Lepisosteus oculatus: one gene and its partner. The protein of the gene in region 2 purifies or fractionates together with the protein of the main gene of each other region. This does not show direct contact. Links are inferred from orthologs where the notes say so. Each region holds a gene or a part of one and is shown on either strand. Other genes may lie near its edges. The genes, in order: ifi30a and dapk1.

Region 1 (8,104 bases), on a different chromosome or scaffold from region 2:
GAGCTCAAGTGCTGCCATTTCATTAGATGCAATTTGTGTGTGGCTGCTGGATCCTCCAGTTCCAGACATGGCACACAATTTACAATACTAAGAAAAACCGTTCCAAGTTTGCTAGTTAAGTCCTTTACTGAAGACTCTGTAAATGAAGGGGCTTAGAAATGTGAGGGATCATCAATGACATCTTCCTGCTTGTCTATAAAGCAGAAAATCTGAATGCTATCACGTGAGATTAGCTATCATAGGATGCTGTTACCGATTTTTTTTTTTTCTCTCATCGAGTTAAATCTTGTGACATTCTTTTCATGCAGATAATCTCAAATTGTGCCTTTCATCAAGCCAAGGATCAAGATAGTTAATAATTCTCATCCTGAGATAACAATGGTCATATAGCAATGATTTATAACACAGAGCCTGAGCATTTCTGATCAACGGCACCTGGACAATAAAAAAAACACTTGACTATTTAGATATACCATCAGGCAATTTTAATAGAAGCAACCAAAAACTCAGGATAACCAAAACGCGTTTTTAAGTCGCGTCTACCTGAGCATTTCCGTAAGGCACCAGCGTCACGTTCATGATGTCGTGAAGCATCGACCAGGTGGGGAAAAGCATCTCCACCAGGAATTCCCGGCATCCGCCACACAGGCTCTCGTAGTACAGGGCCACCTCCACATTGGGGGCAGCTGTGCCAGCGTACTCCAGACACTGCTTTTCCACCTGCGGAGACCAAAAACGGCATTGCATCTTTCACGCCAGGCATGGCTCTTGGGGTTGTATTTTCAGCTTGGTTTCCATGGTCTCCGTCTTGGGTCTGTTACGCTTGGTTCCCAATAAATTAACCTAATCATTTCTACACCTAGAAGTATATTGGATTTCCCCCCCCAGAAGATTTTCAGAGAATCAGTTTCATTAAAGGTACAGTTACCCGTGACACCACAGAGCCTGGTGAGATCGCAGTTAATCGCAGGTAATTGAATAGGTTGACCAACTTTTGAGATTTTATTCTTTAGAACTTCGTCTTAGAGGTCGAAACAGTGGTGCAGTGCTTCGAGTTTCTGCTTCGCCAGTGCTGGGGCCCTGGGTTCAATTCCAGACTTGGGGTGCTATCTGTGTGGAGATTGCATGTTCTTCCTGTAATTTGTGTGGGTTTTTCCTCATAGTCCTAGATCATATTGGTAGATTAATTAGCTTCTGGAAATACCCAAGGTTCGAGTGTCTGTGTCTGCCCTGTGACGGACTGGTGACCTGTCCAGGCTGTACCCTAACTTGTGTACATTGCTTGCCAATATAGGCTCCAGATCCCCTGGAACTCTGAATTGAGCTTTGGTTCAGAAAGAAGTGGTGAGAGAATGGATGGGTGGTGAGAGTCCAATTTAACCCTACTTTATGGACTGTAAAAAGCCAAGTTAAAGAGATCTGGCAAATCTACACTGTGGCCCTTGGTGACTAAAATAGATACTTTATTGATCTCGTGAGTGAAATTGCAGAAAAATAGTTTTACTTGAACAGCAGCTCAAGAAGGGATAACGTTAGCTGCTGAGGCTCAGCAGTAATGTTAGACATGCTTTAGAGGAAACTCCACAGCAATGCCAGATTACTGCAGGTATCTGGATCGTTTATAGCTCTGCTTTCCTGTTAAATACACCCTGAAAGAGAGGCTATGGTAAAAACATGACTTTAAGCGGTTTGGGATATCAGGGAAAAACAGAGCACACTTCTAAATTCTTTCCTTCATGCTGTAAATTCTACATTTCTACAGTTGATTTCTATAGCCTGTAAGTATCACTATGATGTATTTGTAATGCATGACTCTTGTATTCAGTTTGGGACAAAACTCCTGCACACAGGGAGATAAAAGCAAGTCCCACCCACATCGAGAGGAACTGATGCACAATCTGTGCATCTATGATTAATGGATAGCTATACTTTTACAAGTAATGTAATGCAAAATCACCAATAAAAAAAGTTCATCAACATCACGATTATTAGTCATTCGGTATATTCCCTTTACTAGCTCACTATAAAGTATTTAAAAAGAGTAACAAACACGCTATTCATTGTTTTCGTTGCCAAACATGTTTGCAGATGGTTCTATCAAAACCTTTTATCCACAAACAGGAGGTTAAATCTGGGTATAACGATTGTTCTTAATGCGGCAGTTAGAGGATACACTCACATTTAAAAGCAATTCTGAAAAGATGAAACTGTACCCTTTAGTGATGTTTGACGGCCGGGGAGAATATAATCGTATTGCTTTCCGAAAACTTCACAATACCCCAGTTCCGTCACTCGCCGGGACTTCAGTAACTTAGCAGAAGCGAGTGTTATTATTTTGAATAAAGTAACAACCGGCAAGGCAGAAACATTGTTATTCAAAACCAGACTGCCTTCCTAAATTAGAGATTTCAGTTTTGGAATCGATGGAAAAGGTCCCAGAGGGAACGAAGGGGAATTTCAGCGTCACTGCAGTCAGAAAGCCAATTCGATAACTTTAAATAAATCAGAGAGGGATTTTCTTCAGTGTCATTTTTACTGACATTAACGCCCACGCAAACACGTCGGTTTTCAAAGGGAAACTAACACGCTCCAACTGTATCGAGACAGTGGGCTCTATACTGTACTGTTCTCTAACCCTTTTTTCTGAAGGTTATAAAATCTCCACAGAAGATGTCGAATGTCTGTGGAGTGACTGAGAAAAAGCATACAATGCATTCAATAAACCGTGGCGTGTTTCTAGCTAACTTTCGTTTTTTTTTCCTTTAGCAAGAGCAACAGCAATGCGAATACAACCCGTCGCTCTGCACAAACTTATGAATGATAAAATCGTTAAAATATAAAAAAAAAATCATTGCAAAAGCCGGTACAGCAGCAAAAAAAGGGATTTTTTTTGCAACCCTCTGTACAACCGTGCGGCTTATCGTGAGACACCGGTATGAGTGGGATGTAGTCGCCCGTGAAAACTTAAACTTACCCCACACTCCAAGGCGATCTGCCGAGTCTTACACCACTCCGACGGGGGGTACCTGCAGGGCGGTCTGGAGTAACTAATCTCCACCGCGCACAAGGCGAAAACAGCTAGTACCAAATGGTTGTTCATTTTTGCACCCTCTCACGGAAACAAATCAAACGACAATACCTTAGCCCTTATGTAGACGCTTATAAAAGGAGACAACAGTAACACCTCCCCCTTTTTTTAGTAACTCCTCCCTCCATCGCTTCCTGTCTGATAATACCTCGTGACTGTTCTCATGACAGCCCTGTCGTCCTCCTGAAAATCCAGGTTAACGGTTAACTGCGCCGTCAATTTGAAGTACATGCTCAGCTCGGTAAAAATGAGTGTCTATGCAGAAAAAAGGTGCATAAACAAGTGAATGAACTTCAAGCTGGCTATTGTCAGTGAATCTATACTTGTGGGGTGGGGGAGGACACGCAATCACGAGTGAAGCATGTGAAATGAAGACGCGCAAACCTGTTGGACAAGGACTGGAATAACCTTGAGCTGTGCCGAGTTTCGGTCTCTCACGGGACGTTACAATATATAGTGGTACTGATGCTGAAAAGCACCACGGTCCTCAGGTCTAATGGAACTAACCAGAATATTTTAAACACAGAGGTCCAACAAAAATGCAAATACATCAGGAGACATTTTTTAGGTTTAAGTATGATTTAATGTGAAAATGAACGTGAAAAGTTACTGAGCATTAACAATCCTGGCAGTGCAGACGCTCGGTCCCGATCAGCCTCTGGACAGACTGCTGTGGGCTGCCACAGCCGGCTGGTGGAAGATTGCCCGGTTGTGGAAAAGTTGGAAGAAAAAGCTGACCATGGTAAAAATGGTGTAAAAAAGTGGTTTTCATCCATACATTGCACCTTTGAAATACTGGTTATAAGTGGTCTTGCATTGTCCTGCTGCAAAATGGACAGTTATTTTGTCGATGTGGAGGATAATTCTCCTTTGAGGTTCAAGAAAGTTCAATGCAGATGAAAAACACTACTGTGATGTTCCTGGGCTGAAGAGCAGATATTCTTGGATTAGTGAGATGACCTTCCAGGATGTAACCTGTTGCACATGGAGACAGGTTTCTGGGTTCCAGGGTTCACTGGACTGTTCTGCTGATTCTTGAAGAAGAACATGTCATTCTCTGAGCAGCTGCCCTTACAGACCTTTGATCACGCACATAGCAACCAGGCGATCTTGAAGAAACAGACAAGGCATAACCATGAGTTTCACTACTATTCTACTAATACAAAGCCTATATGTTTTTTCCCAACTACTAATTTTGGCAACTTTTCCTGAACTGAAATACCAAAGGCTGAGAACCTTGTTTTTCTGAAATCGCATTACTTGATCTCTTATTTTGTTATCCCAAAGAACATCCATCTATTTATATCCACTTTATCCAATAGAGGGTTATGGGTATTTGCATATTCCAGCAAGCAAATTAAACAAACACACCTATTTAAAATATGAATAACATTATGGAAGGACATATGGAGAAGATGTCAGCATACAACATGGGCCGTTGCATTTTCATTGTGCATAAAATGTGAGAGTTTTGGTCATTTCCTGTCACTAATCGATTTTGTTTTGTTCGCAGATCTTGTAGTCTATTCTGTTCCTGAGAGATTGTGAATGTTATCCAACTGATCACACTGTCTTGCCCCTTGTGAAAACACTGTTGTGAATCCTTCTCTGAGGTAGATTTGGAGGGGATTTTACATGTTCTAAAAAAATTTTCCAGGAAATTGGCTTCTGTTCAGAAACCAAACAGAGCAGTTCCTTGTCAACCAATTTCTTTTGTTTAAGGAGTTTGTTTTAAGCATTATCAATTCAAAAGTGACGTGTTGATGCATAGCTGTTTGTTATTTTTGCTAAAAAGAGCTTTTAGTGTCCAGAAGCATGCAAAGAGCTCCCAAGCTCTAGTATGCATGACAGAAGTGAGTGGATTACAGGTATAGACAGCTGGTATAGACTGATGTCAGTGTTTGATCTGGAGCGTCTTGGAGACACATTAGCTCTTAGATTTAAAAAACAAAACTGATGTGAAATACAAGCTGTATGATTCCGCATGATATCATTTTCTAAGAAAATGAGCCAATGAATCCCAGGCCTGAGGCAGATTGTGCAGGCCATGCCTTTTGAGTCAGCAGTGCTCAACCTAGACCCTAAAGGAGAAAAAGTTGGGAGGCCTGAGGACCTCATGTTTACGTAGCTAGTCTCCAAATCCAAGCATCTTGGTGTAATAAATTCAAGACCAAGAGCTGGCAATAACCTATTCCGCATACTAACGGCACTCAGTGTGCCAAACCAAATCTGCTTCTGGGTATCAACTCTAAATGTTTGTACATTTCAGATTTTCTCCACCCCAGTTTCAGTTAACGTCTGGAGACAACACAGAAAAGGGGGTACACATTGTGAGTACATTTCTTAGCTTATTCCTTTCCATACACAGTATCTACTACAAAGGTTTCAAATCAAAACCATTTTACCAAATAGTGGTCTAAATGCTGTGACTAAGTAGAAGCCAAACTGTATTGCCTGTTTCATTTCATGTTTATTCAGTGAAATTTATTTAAACATCATTCATAGATTCGTTCATAACATTACAACCTCTTTCAGGCATGTCAGCAAAAGAAGTCTACTTGTCAACAGATTCCCTATTTCCTTTGATGTGGTGCTTTGTCCATTCAGAAAATTCCCTGTAAATGAAGATCCAATCACTGTTGCATAAATCATCTGTTTCTAGGGAAATGAACTCCACTGGTGATTAATTTCATTGTACTGTGAAATCAGAAAAACAGCCCACAGTTTATCTACGCCATCTGCTTTTGGTGAAAACCCCCTAAATTCTGTAAGGAAATATGTCATGACAGATTGAGGAAATAGACAACAATTAGAAATTTGTTTACGAATGAATAACGTGTCTTTTGAGTTCTACCAACTAGTTTCTTCTGCTTTATTCAGACTTCAGTTTTGTCCGGCACAATAGTCTTGCTGAGCCTTCATCTAATTAGAAATTCAATATTTGTTTAGCAAAGGCTGATGTAATTTTTTTCTAAGCTTTTTGAATTGAACTTTCAGACTCATTTCAGAATATCAGGATCATGAATTAGGATATTCATTCTCTTTCCTAGTGTCTCCCAGTTAATGGAACAGATACATATGTCTTTGCAAACATGGCAAATGTTACAAATATACAGTGAACAAAATGTCCGTAATAACGTCAGTAAGTTTTAAAGAAAGCTGCAGCCATAATTGACAATTATAAAGCAATAAAATGTTATAGTATATTTTTATCTCATTGTAAAACTAGAAACCAATGCAAAAAGGACAAAATGTGTGATTTTTTTTTTCCCCTCCTTTTTGCATTGTGGGGGAGTGGATAGGACTCAAGTCCAAGGTGCTAAGATTGCAGTTTTAGCCTTATGTCAAGTAACATGGGTAAAATACCCTGTTGTGCAAATAAATTGAAACAGATTAAAAAATGCCTGTGTAATGCCTGAAATGTAACAGTTGATTCAATAAAATAAACTGATCTAAAATATTAAATATTCATTTAACTTTAATGTACAAAGGCTCATCGAATTGTAAGACTTTACTTCCAAGTCCAGCAGTCTCGTGCAAACAGGTCCAACTTAAAGCCCACTCAATACAGGAAGAGCAGGTGAAAGATATGAAAAGGCTGGAAGGTGGATAGTTTGAGAAGTCTGTACAACAATCCAAGCATGTTTTGCAGAATATGAGATCATTTCTGATCTGAAAAACAATAAATCATACTTGATCGTGAAGAATATTACCAGCCGCTGGCAAAAGTGCAAATGTTTCTAAAAAAACCACAAAAATAAGATAACGCAGTGATAAGGCTTGTCAGGTCGGTAAGTGGTAAGTAGGTGTTTGACACTTCTCCTTTTAAATAGAGCTGTTTCCACTACAACGACCAATGTTCGCCTCAACATGAATGGGAGAGGCCAGCAGTACAAAGTGTACTGACTGCACCACGGTTTCAGTGATTGTAAAATAACTGTATTCCAGTTTAATCTGCCATATTTTTTCATACAAAGTCAAGTGGACTTTTTTCAGAATTCCAAAGCACAAAACACAAGGGGAGGCTATGAGGAAGCGTGTTTCTCCACAGAGGGTTGTGGGAATGAGGAACACTACCCAGCCATGTTGTCAAAGCTGGTGCGCTGGCTTCTGTTGGAAGGCTGGGTGAAATGTTGGGATCATCCAGCTGGTAATAAATGAACACTCTAAATGGGACAGCTGTGCCCCTTTTGTAACCTCTCTTATTGCAGAAAAGGACATTCTGCAGACCTCGGTTTTACATCTCATCCCAACGAAGGCTAATTTTTTACAGTCTAGGGTCCCCATCACTGTTCAGGGGGGTTTACCACACAGACTGCAGGGTGAGCGCCCCCTTACTGACCCCTCTTCCAGCAGCTCCTGGAGGCCACCCATCCAGGTACTGGCCAGGCTCACACCTGCTGAGCTTCAGTGGGCAGCCAGCTGTGAGTTGCAGGGTGATACAGCTGCGGCATCGGAGTATCTTGTATTCTGATGGATGGTCTTGTGGTTCCACAAGTAGTGTAGTGGGCACCCACTTCTTATGACTATATCTAATCAAGTGGTACTGTATTATTATATCGTACATGCTTTTCAATTCATTTGCATCTGATAAATGCCTATTCATAAAGAGAAGTAGTTGTATTTACATCAGATCAAGTAGTAGGAATCGCTTCCCTTCAGCAAACAGTGCTCTTTAAACGCAGATTAATTTTGCACACTGTACTTATGCAACATTAAAGGTTTCATGAGTCAGTGCACTGTGACGGTGCTAGATTTATTTCCCCTGCCATCTGCTTCTGCACATTTAGACCCTCTCACTTCTCATTAGGAGTCACCAAGAGACTGAAATAACAGCTTTGATCAGTGCTGATAAAAAAAAAACAAGCACACAAGAAAGACAAGGTTGTTTAGAGGACATTCAGAGCCATATTGATATTGTTACAATCTGGGTAATCCTGTAGGTTATTTAATTTATAATGTTTGCAGTTCTTATCTAATTGCACTCCTGAAAACCTTCCTTCACACAATAGATCT
Region 2 (7,734 bases):
ATTGCTGTAAGTCATGAGGTCTTCAAAATAATTAGTATCACATACTGAAGTCACATATGAAGCTTCCTCCCAGTCTGATTCTTCAGTGTGCAGTCTGTATAAAAGGTACTGACATTGCCGCCAGTAGAGGCTAGCTAGGTAACTGGCCCTGGTCTGATCAAGGGCTACTTATTCGCTTAACTGTAAATTAGAAATCCCCAGAGGTAAACAGTAGCTAATTTAACCATGTGCTTCACTTAAGCAGACAGAATATAAGGAAAGTGAGGATTTGAGAATGAGTTGGTAAGAAAGAGAAAAGCAGAGAACAGAAGACAAGAGTAAGCAACCATCCGCCGTTACCAATCAGTTTCTCCTTGAATAACTGAACCCCAGGGTATAAGGAGCTTTGAAGAGACTTCTACAACATTTAGGGAAATGTCTTCTTTTCTTATTTCTTATTTAAATTTCCTTCTGTAAGTTTGTCATACACATTTTGAAACATTGGATTAATGTGATGCATTATTGTTTGTGACTGAAGTTTTATCTCTTTATACTAGCATTGGTTTAGTTCTTGATATATAGACCCCCCACCCCACACCCCCACTGCCTGTCACCCCTTTTATCTACCATGCCCTTTAAAAAATGCTTGATATCCATTATTTTTTAATTATCCCTGTTATTCTCCTCCCTAGCCATTTTGTAGTTATTTCTTTAATATCACAACTAATGCTGTAAGATCTTGCATTTTATTCCTTATGCATGTGATATAAGCATTTATATATGAAATACAAAAGATTAATGAATTACTTGATGTCTTATTGGTTTTGAGATTTTTTAAAAACAAAAAACAACCCTGAGTTTATATGATTCTACCAAATCTGGCCTGTTCTAAAGATTCCTTCCCATAGTTCCCTAGTTGAAATAAATTGTCCTCAACTGAGTCTTACCTGCAATCACAAAACTATCTATTTGAAAAAACAAACAAACATGAATGACTTTTAATTTTCACAAAACTGTGTTTGAGGGTAGAACTGAAAGTTTGAATTGTTATCAAAACCTTACAATTTTATGAGCATTCTTCTTATGTATTGTTTTCGAAGGGTGAAAATGTTTAGTAACATGATTACCTTCTTGATACATTCCACAGTAAACTCAGGTTGAAGTTACTTCCTTATATTAAAGTTACTGATTTCCTTGTATTAACCTTGTCCTGCTTTCTGTTTGTTCATAGAAAAACATTTCTACAAAACGCACATGGCAAAAGAAAAGAACTCAACATTTCTTTAGTTTATACTGTTGCTAATACAGGCTGTAGAATAATTGAGGTAACTGTGATAAAAATACAAAATGCTTTTGATTTTAAAATGTTGTATGAAGTGCATTACTATGCTAAATATCTAAAGCCCTTCTGTTAATTGGAGAATATATTAAAATTCTGATCTGTTTGATCAGATGGGTAAATGATTTACAAAATCCTCCTCTGACCACCTTCTCAAACCCTGATTTAGTGCCCACATACTGTATCTGATTAATGCTGTTTAACTTGTATAAATTAAGCTTCATTTGATTAAGGATTTAATTAAGAATACAAATCACATTAAAATACCCATGTTTTGTGAATTGACTATAACTAAAATAGTCACAGAGACAAAAAAAACCCACTTTGGAATCATCTTTATCAACATTAGCCTTGTGCACAGCTGACATGACAAGAGCAAACAAAGAACTACAGTGTGCCAGCAGAAAAATAAATAGCAAATCAAGAATGCAGGTTATGCTGGGATACAAATTCAGGAAGCAGTTTGACTGGACAGAAATAACAAGAAGAAAATGAACTGAACTAAGAAGAACGACACTAACAACTACAGCCTTTCAGAGTAATGATGTAATGACATGGATATTACATGAGTTTGAACCCCTTTACAAGACGGTGATGTAATATTTACCAGTGTAATCCGGAAATATTACTTTTGACAGCGGTTTAAATTTCCCTGCACATTTCTCATAGACCAGCTCTTCAGCACACAAAATAAAAAAATGTATCATTATCATGTGAGCTTACTGAGAATATTACGAACCCTTCTCACAGTAGTAGTTAAAATATGCACCACATCAGAATGTGGCAAACAGTACTTAATTGGGGGAAAAATCCTTTCTTTCTAAGATCTAAAAATGGGTCACATTTAATTTAATTCTTTTTTATGTTTTTGAATAAAACAACCTTAAGAAAAACCCAATGCCAAATGCCAAGTAAAAAAAAGAGAGAAAAATAGTTTATTCGTAGTTCTTGCATTGTTATGGTATATAGCTTTTGCTTGAAACATTATTTGAGAATATTAGTGAATGTATCAGCTACTGCAAATTTAAATCAATTGATATGTCCTTTTAAACAAGCTTTTTACTGGTGCTTTCTAGCTACCTTTGGTTTCCCATAACTTGTGCATAGCTGGACAACCCTTCCATTTCAGAATTCAAACTAGGGCTAATGGAGACATGCAAAACAACTATTTAGGAAGATTAAAAATGTGAAATTAGAGATACATGATATACAGATTCATAATAAATGTGAATGGCAGAATCCGCAGCATTAAGTAAAACATCAATCATCATCATCCTATAGCCCAGAAAAAAAAAGATTGCAAATGCTTTAAAAAATATTTTTTGAAGTATTTTTAAAAATACTATGCAGAACGACCAAATGAAACGAACGACCATGATCATATGAAATAAAACCCAGTCATACAAATGCTGGATGATATGCTGGTGGCTGGACTGAATTGATGTGTACAGCTTGGATTGGGCAGTCACTTGTTGGGGCCAGCATTTTCCAACCTCAAGATGAAGTCTATGAATGACAGGCCACAATCGGGGGGACCACGAGTCATGCCACCTCATCAATAGCTATTACCTATGAAGTCCAAGTGTGAAGGTCTGGGCAGGACTGTCTAGTTGAACTCCTTTTACAGTGATTGGTGGCAACCTGACCACACATCCCTACATTGATCAAGTCTCACTTGTTGTCCTTCCTACAGTCTCATCCTCACATGGCAACATTCCAACAGCATAGAGCACATTCCCATGATGCTTGTGTTACACAGCTTTCTTGAAAGTTGAGACTACAGACTTCACCCCCATTGAACATGAGCAGTGAGATGAGCTGGGATTACATGTGGTACCTAGAGATTATAGAGCACTGAATGGGCACATACTTGTCTAGGTTCAATGAGAGGAAAGGAACAGAATCCCTCAAGACAGCATCTGCAACCAGTTGCAAAGGATTTGTCACAGATGTACAACTTGTATTGTTTCCAGTTGTAGGCCACACACGACTACTTTGTAAACTAGCCTAGTAGACAGCAGATCTCCTACTGATGACAAATGATAATAAGTACAGTATAATGTATTTAGCTGTGTCATTAAGTTCAAGTAGGTAACTGCATCAGCATGTGTAGGCTGCAAAGGATTTATTACACGCTGAAAAGAAAAGAGACTCAATGTTTATTTTCAGCAGTGGAATAAACCTTTACTAGTTCCTTTACTTTTGTCATGTCTGTTATAAAAAGGTCAGTACACCAGGTATAAAACTGACATCCTCTCTTGTCCTGTGACGCCTGCAATATAAAGTTTTAGTTCTGTTTTCAGAAAAAAAATCTTGTCAGACCTGTTTTAGTTCCTCTCTAACTGTAAGAATTATTTTCTTATCTTCCTTGTTGACTTATTTTTGGACACGTTTTGCAGTTTTGCCTGTTGTTTTGCATGTCTCTTAACTGGAGACTAAAAAAAGGATTCTGTTTGCATTACTTTATTTTCCGAGAGAACTGGTTTTTACTTTCTATTCTTCCTTGCCTATAGTATTGGTATTTATATTTTGTCTTTTCCCTGCAGATTCAAAAGTAGGAAAAGGACTTTTGAGTTTAAAAAAATCAAAGCCACTTATCATACTAATTTGTTGTAGGTTATTTTGATGAAGATATTATTAGCAATTTCTGGTGGTCAGCTTTGGAAGTTAATATGCCTGGACAGTTCTTGCCTCTTCATTTAATTTGAGTTTCAGTTCTGGAAATATCAGAGATTTTATTTTGTTTATAAAAATTCATAAGTAACTGATAAGTAATAAGATCTTAAAAGAAATTGTAGAAAACTTTAATTATAATGTAACAGTATGTCAAATCAGCAATATGCTGTAACACACATCAGGGAACTCAGTCAACACAAAAATTCAATAACAACAAAAAACATGTTTTTCAGGTTTGGTTTTGCTGAGGATACGTCACACACGAATGACTTACATAAACTGGTCGGTATGTCTTTCTCCTTTTTTAACCTGTTAATGCAGTGCCTAAAGGAAACTAGGAACAAAATCACCGACCTTTACAAAAACCTCCAGCATTTCTAAGAGGAACTGTGTTAATCTCATTATTCACACAAAATATGAATGTTGAAATATAGAATGTAACAAGTTAATGAATACGGAAATTCAAATTCATATCCAAACTTTTTATTAAAGCCCTCTGTCAAATTTTGAGACCTAAAGTGCGATAAGCCAGTGCATGAAAGGAAAGATGTGTTTATTATATGTCCAGACACCCGAGGGATTCATCTTTCCCTTTCATGCACTGGCTTATCGCACTTTAGGTCTCAAAATTTGACAGAGGGCTTTAATAAAAAGTCAGGGTCGTTTCTTGGCGTTAATACTACAGCTCTCTCATTGGTTAGGCGAGTGTGTATTTCTCCTGGGTTACCGCACTATGCTGCCTCCTTGAGACCGAAACACACCAGTACTGTGTGTAACACATAGAACACACGCAGCGAACGCCACAGTATTAATACAGACATTGTTACAGTCCTCCCATTTCCTGCAACATTCCTTTTTAATGTCTTCTTAGGAAAACGCGCATTTTGCAACCCTTGTTTCCGGGGAACACCAGCTACCTGGAAATTGACGGCAGTTTGGATTCAAAGGTACTTCTTTTTTGTCTTTATCCGGTGCTGGATTTTCAGATGTATTTGTCCGCAGTTCCTGGACATAAAGAGAAGAAATAAGGCCGTAGCCGAGTTCTTCAATTGAAATTGCTGAATGCACGAGGTGTGTACACACAAATGCATATACATTTTCATGACGTTACCGATGTTTCCGATGATTGTGTATGAGGTTTAATCACCTGGTTCCCCCTTGTGTATTCGGGAGATTTTGTAGAGAACGAACAATTCGTTTGTGTTTCGCTAGGGATGTGAGTACCCTGCTCCTCTCCAAGGTCTGCTCTCCAAGCAACCGCAAAGCTTTTAATGAGGAATTTATGTAGCTTCCTGGTCGGGGTTACACGATGTCTTTCCGAAAGGTGGACGTTTGAGACATCGGTACTGGATGGAAAGAGTAAATATAATTCAGAAAAAAAATCTAACAACGGGGGGAGTAGAAGTGTAAAAGGCGATTGAGTCTACCTTCACAGTTTTTAGTGGGCTGCAGAAACTGCTGTTTTAGAAAATAAAACCCGCTTCTAATAGAATGTATTAAGTTGCTCGAGTAGTTCATTAAAAATCACGTCTGTCTTCCGTTTGTACAAATTCCCTGTACCACCTGTGAGAAGAGGTTGAAATATTGTAAACCAATTCTTATTCTCCTAGACCCAGTATGAGTGGGGGTCGGTTTGAAATGTCAAGAGGCTGATAAGAGATGGGCTGCTGAAATCGCTGGGTGCTGATTTGGGAATCCCAGGATCAGAAGTGGCTACCACCATGACCACCTTTAAGCAGGAAAATGTTGAAGATTATTATGAAATCGGAGAAGAGCTTGGAAGGTAAGCAAAAAGAGTGTCGCTTAATTTATTTGCTATTTTATCCTCTGGCAAGTTTAACTGAAGTAATGAAGAACCATTGTGGCATGGCATGTGTTGTTATAAATACATATTTCACCAGTTTAGATAAACCTTAAAGCAGATGAAAATTGTAAGGTATACTCTGAGATGTACTGCATAGAAAATGAAATGTAAATTGATTTTATTTCCGGGGATAAATGCTTTACAAATGGCCTGTTGCATTGCACGGATAGTAGGCAATGACGCTGAACAAAAAGACTGAAAGTAAAGAGACAGTTTGTGTTTAGATATTGATTTGCCTTTTCAGTTCAATTTCCTTTTGAGAAGACTCTGTAAAAGAGGGATTTAATAACTGCCTCACAGGCGCTGCAAGTTCAGTAGTTCCTCTTTTTGAGAAAGCTTGAAGGAAATACTGTATTTTCCCCACTCAGTGACATCTTGATCTTCATTCATTAAATCATCTAAGTATATTAATTGGAAATGAAATAATAGATGAATGTGAATTTACAATCCTTCTGTGTTAAAATCTAGATATATGTGCCATGTATATTCAGGTTCCTGTTTTTACTCCGTATACTATGTACATGCGTTAATAAACATTGAAACATAAGATGGAGTTCGTGACTCTAAAAAACTCCACTGGCCAGCTAGTGCTACTTGTGCATAATGTAAAATGTTGGTTATTCCTTGTTAGATTATCAAAACAGTTGAACTTTCTTTAAATAAATGGATATTAAAAGGACTGGTAATCAAAGGATGAATGTTGCTGTCATAAAGAGGTGTTTAATACATTACCTTCATTTTTTTCTGTTATGGGGAACCATTTGAATGACTGTGGTATACATATGTAAGAGTTGTTTTTTATTCTGGATTTGTGCAAATGAACTTTTTCAGTAGTAAAAAATCTGGGAATGTGCGTACTGAACTTTTATGTTGGTGAAAATAATAGATCCTGCACATTTAATATGTTGTTATTTGTTCAGGAGTATAAGCAGATTTCAAATTGCTTATACTGTTCACTACAGTTTGTTTCACTATATCTGTGCACCAATATGGATGGATTGTTATTAATTTTAGATTGTAAAAATATGTTTCTATGCTGCTTAGTATGTATCAACACTCCCCATAACACTTTTATTGTTAAACAAATTGACTAATCAGTATTATTACAAAATGGTTGCTTTGTGATAATGTGTTTTTGTTTTTTTTTTCCTTTAAAAGGGAAAAACGTAACAACTCCAGCATATTCACCTGCTGTGTTGCATCAGAGGTAGAATGCTAAAGGGAAACAAATCTTATTTATACAACAACCCTTATGAAACCAGTTAAAATTTCAGTGTACTAGGGTAAATACCAATGTTATTTGACAATTTTTATGGGCTCTTCTCATCTACTCCATTGACCACTATGCAAAGGGAACACAGTTTGTCTAAAGCAGTATCAGATTACGGATTGAAAAGAACAGAGCTAAAAGAGGCTATTTGTGTTGAATGCAAGTGCAACAGCTTATAGTTTAACTGTGGGTTCACTTATAAATTTGTGACTGACATATTATTACTTTTCATGTCATGGTTACAGACAGTCCATGTTATTTCACCACCTGTCTTCCCATTCTTTCATTGCTATTTTTAAAATGTGTGTAGGTGTACTGCTTAATGGAGTTTACACTAAAGAAGAGCATCTGCACCAGCTGAAATGTTAATATTCAGTTATTCCAAGAAGAAATCTTTCTTCTTACCTCTCAGTTTTGTTTGGCTTCATTCAGTACCAGCATTTCTAATAAATATTAGAAAGGTTCAGCTATGGGCGATAAAGGTCGTGATAGCAAAGGCATTTTTTTTCAGTCTGCTGGTCCATGGTGGTTCCTATTGAGAAGTATTGGAACTGATTGTTGCTCATCTGGATTTTTGAAAGCTAACGATTCCAGAACTTGACCTAG

Evidence for each region.
Region 1: the proteins of dapk1 (region 2) and ifi30a purify together in Homo sapiens (affinity purification with mass spectrometry; 3 studies listed by BioGRID and IntAct, counting the BioPlex papers as one, with this or other methods). This does not show direct contact. The link is inferred for Lepisosteus oculatus from reciprocal best matches to the Homo sapiens genes DAPK1 and IFI30.

The regions. Positions count from the first base shown.
Region 1 is NC_090724.1:3,634,587-3,642,690, reverse strand, and holds the start of ifi30a (gamma-interferon-inducible lysosomal thiol reductase), read right to left. Parts: upstream 3,157-8,104; 5' UTR 3,101-3,156; coding exon 2,975-3,100; intron 721-2,974; coding exon 544-720; intron 1-543. UniProt on the Homo sapiens protein: Lysosomal thiol reductase that can reduce protein disulfide bonds. May facilitate the complete unfolding of proteins destined for lysosomal degradation. Plays an important role in antigen processing.
Region 2 is NC_090698.1:22,675,532-22,683,265, reverse strand, and holds the start of dapk1 (death-associated protein kinase 1), read left to right. Parts: upstream 1-4,689; 5' UTR 4,690-4,941; intron 4,942-5,604; 5' UTR 5,605-5,715; coding exon 5,716-5,777; intron 5,778-7,734. UniProt on the Homo sapiens protein: Calcium/calmodulin-dependent serine/threonine kinase involved in multiple cellular signaling pathways that trigger cell survival, apoptosis, and autophagy.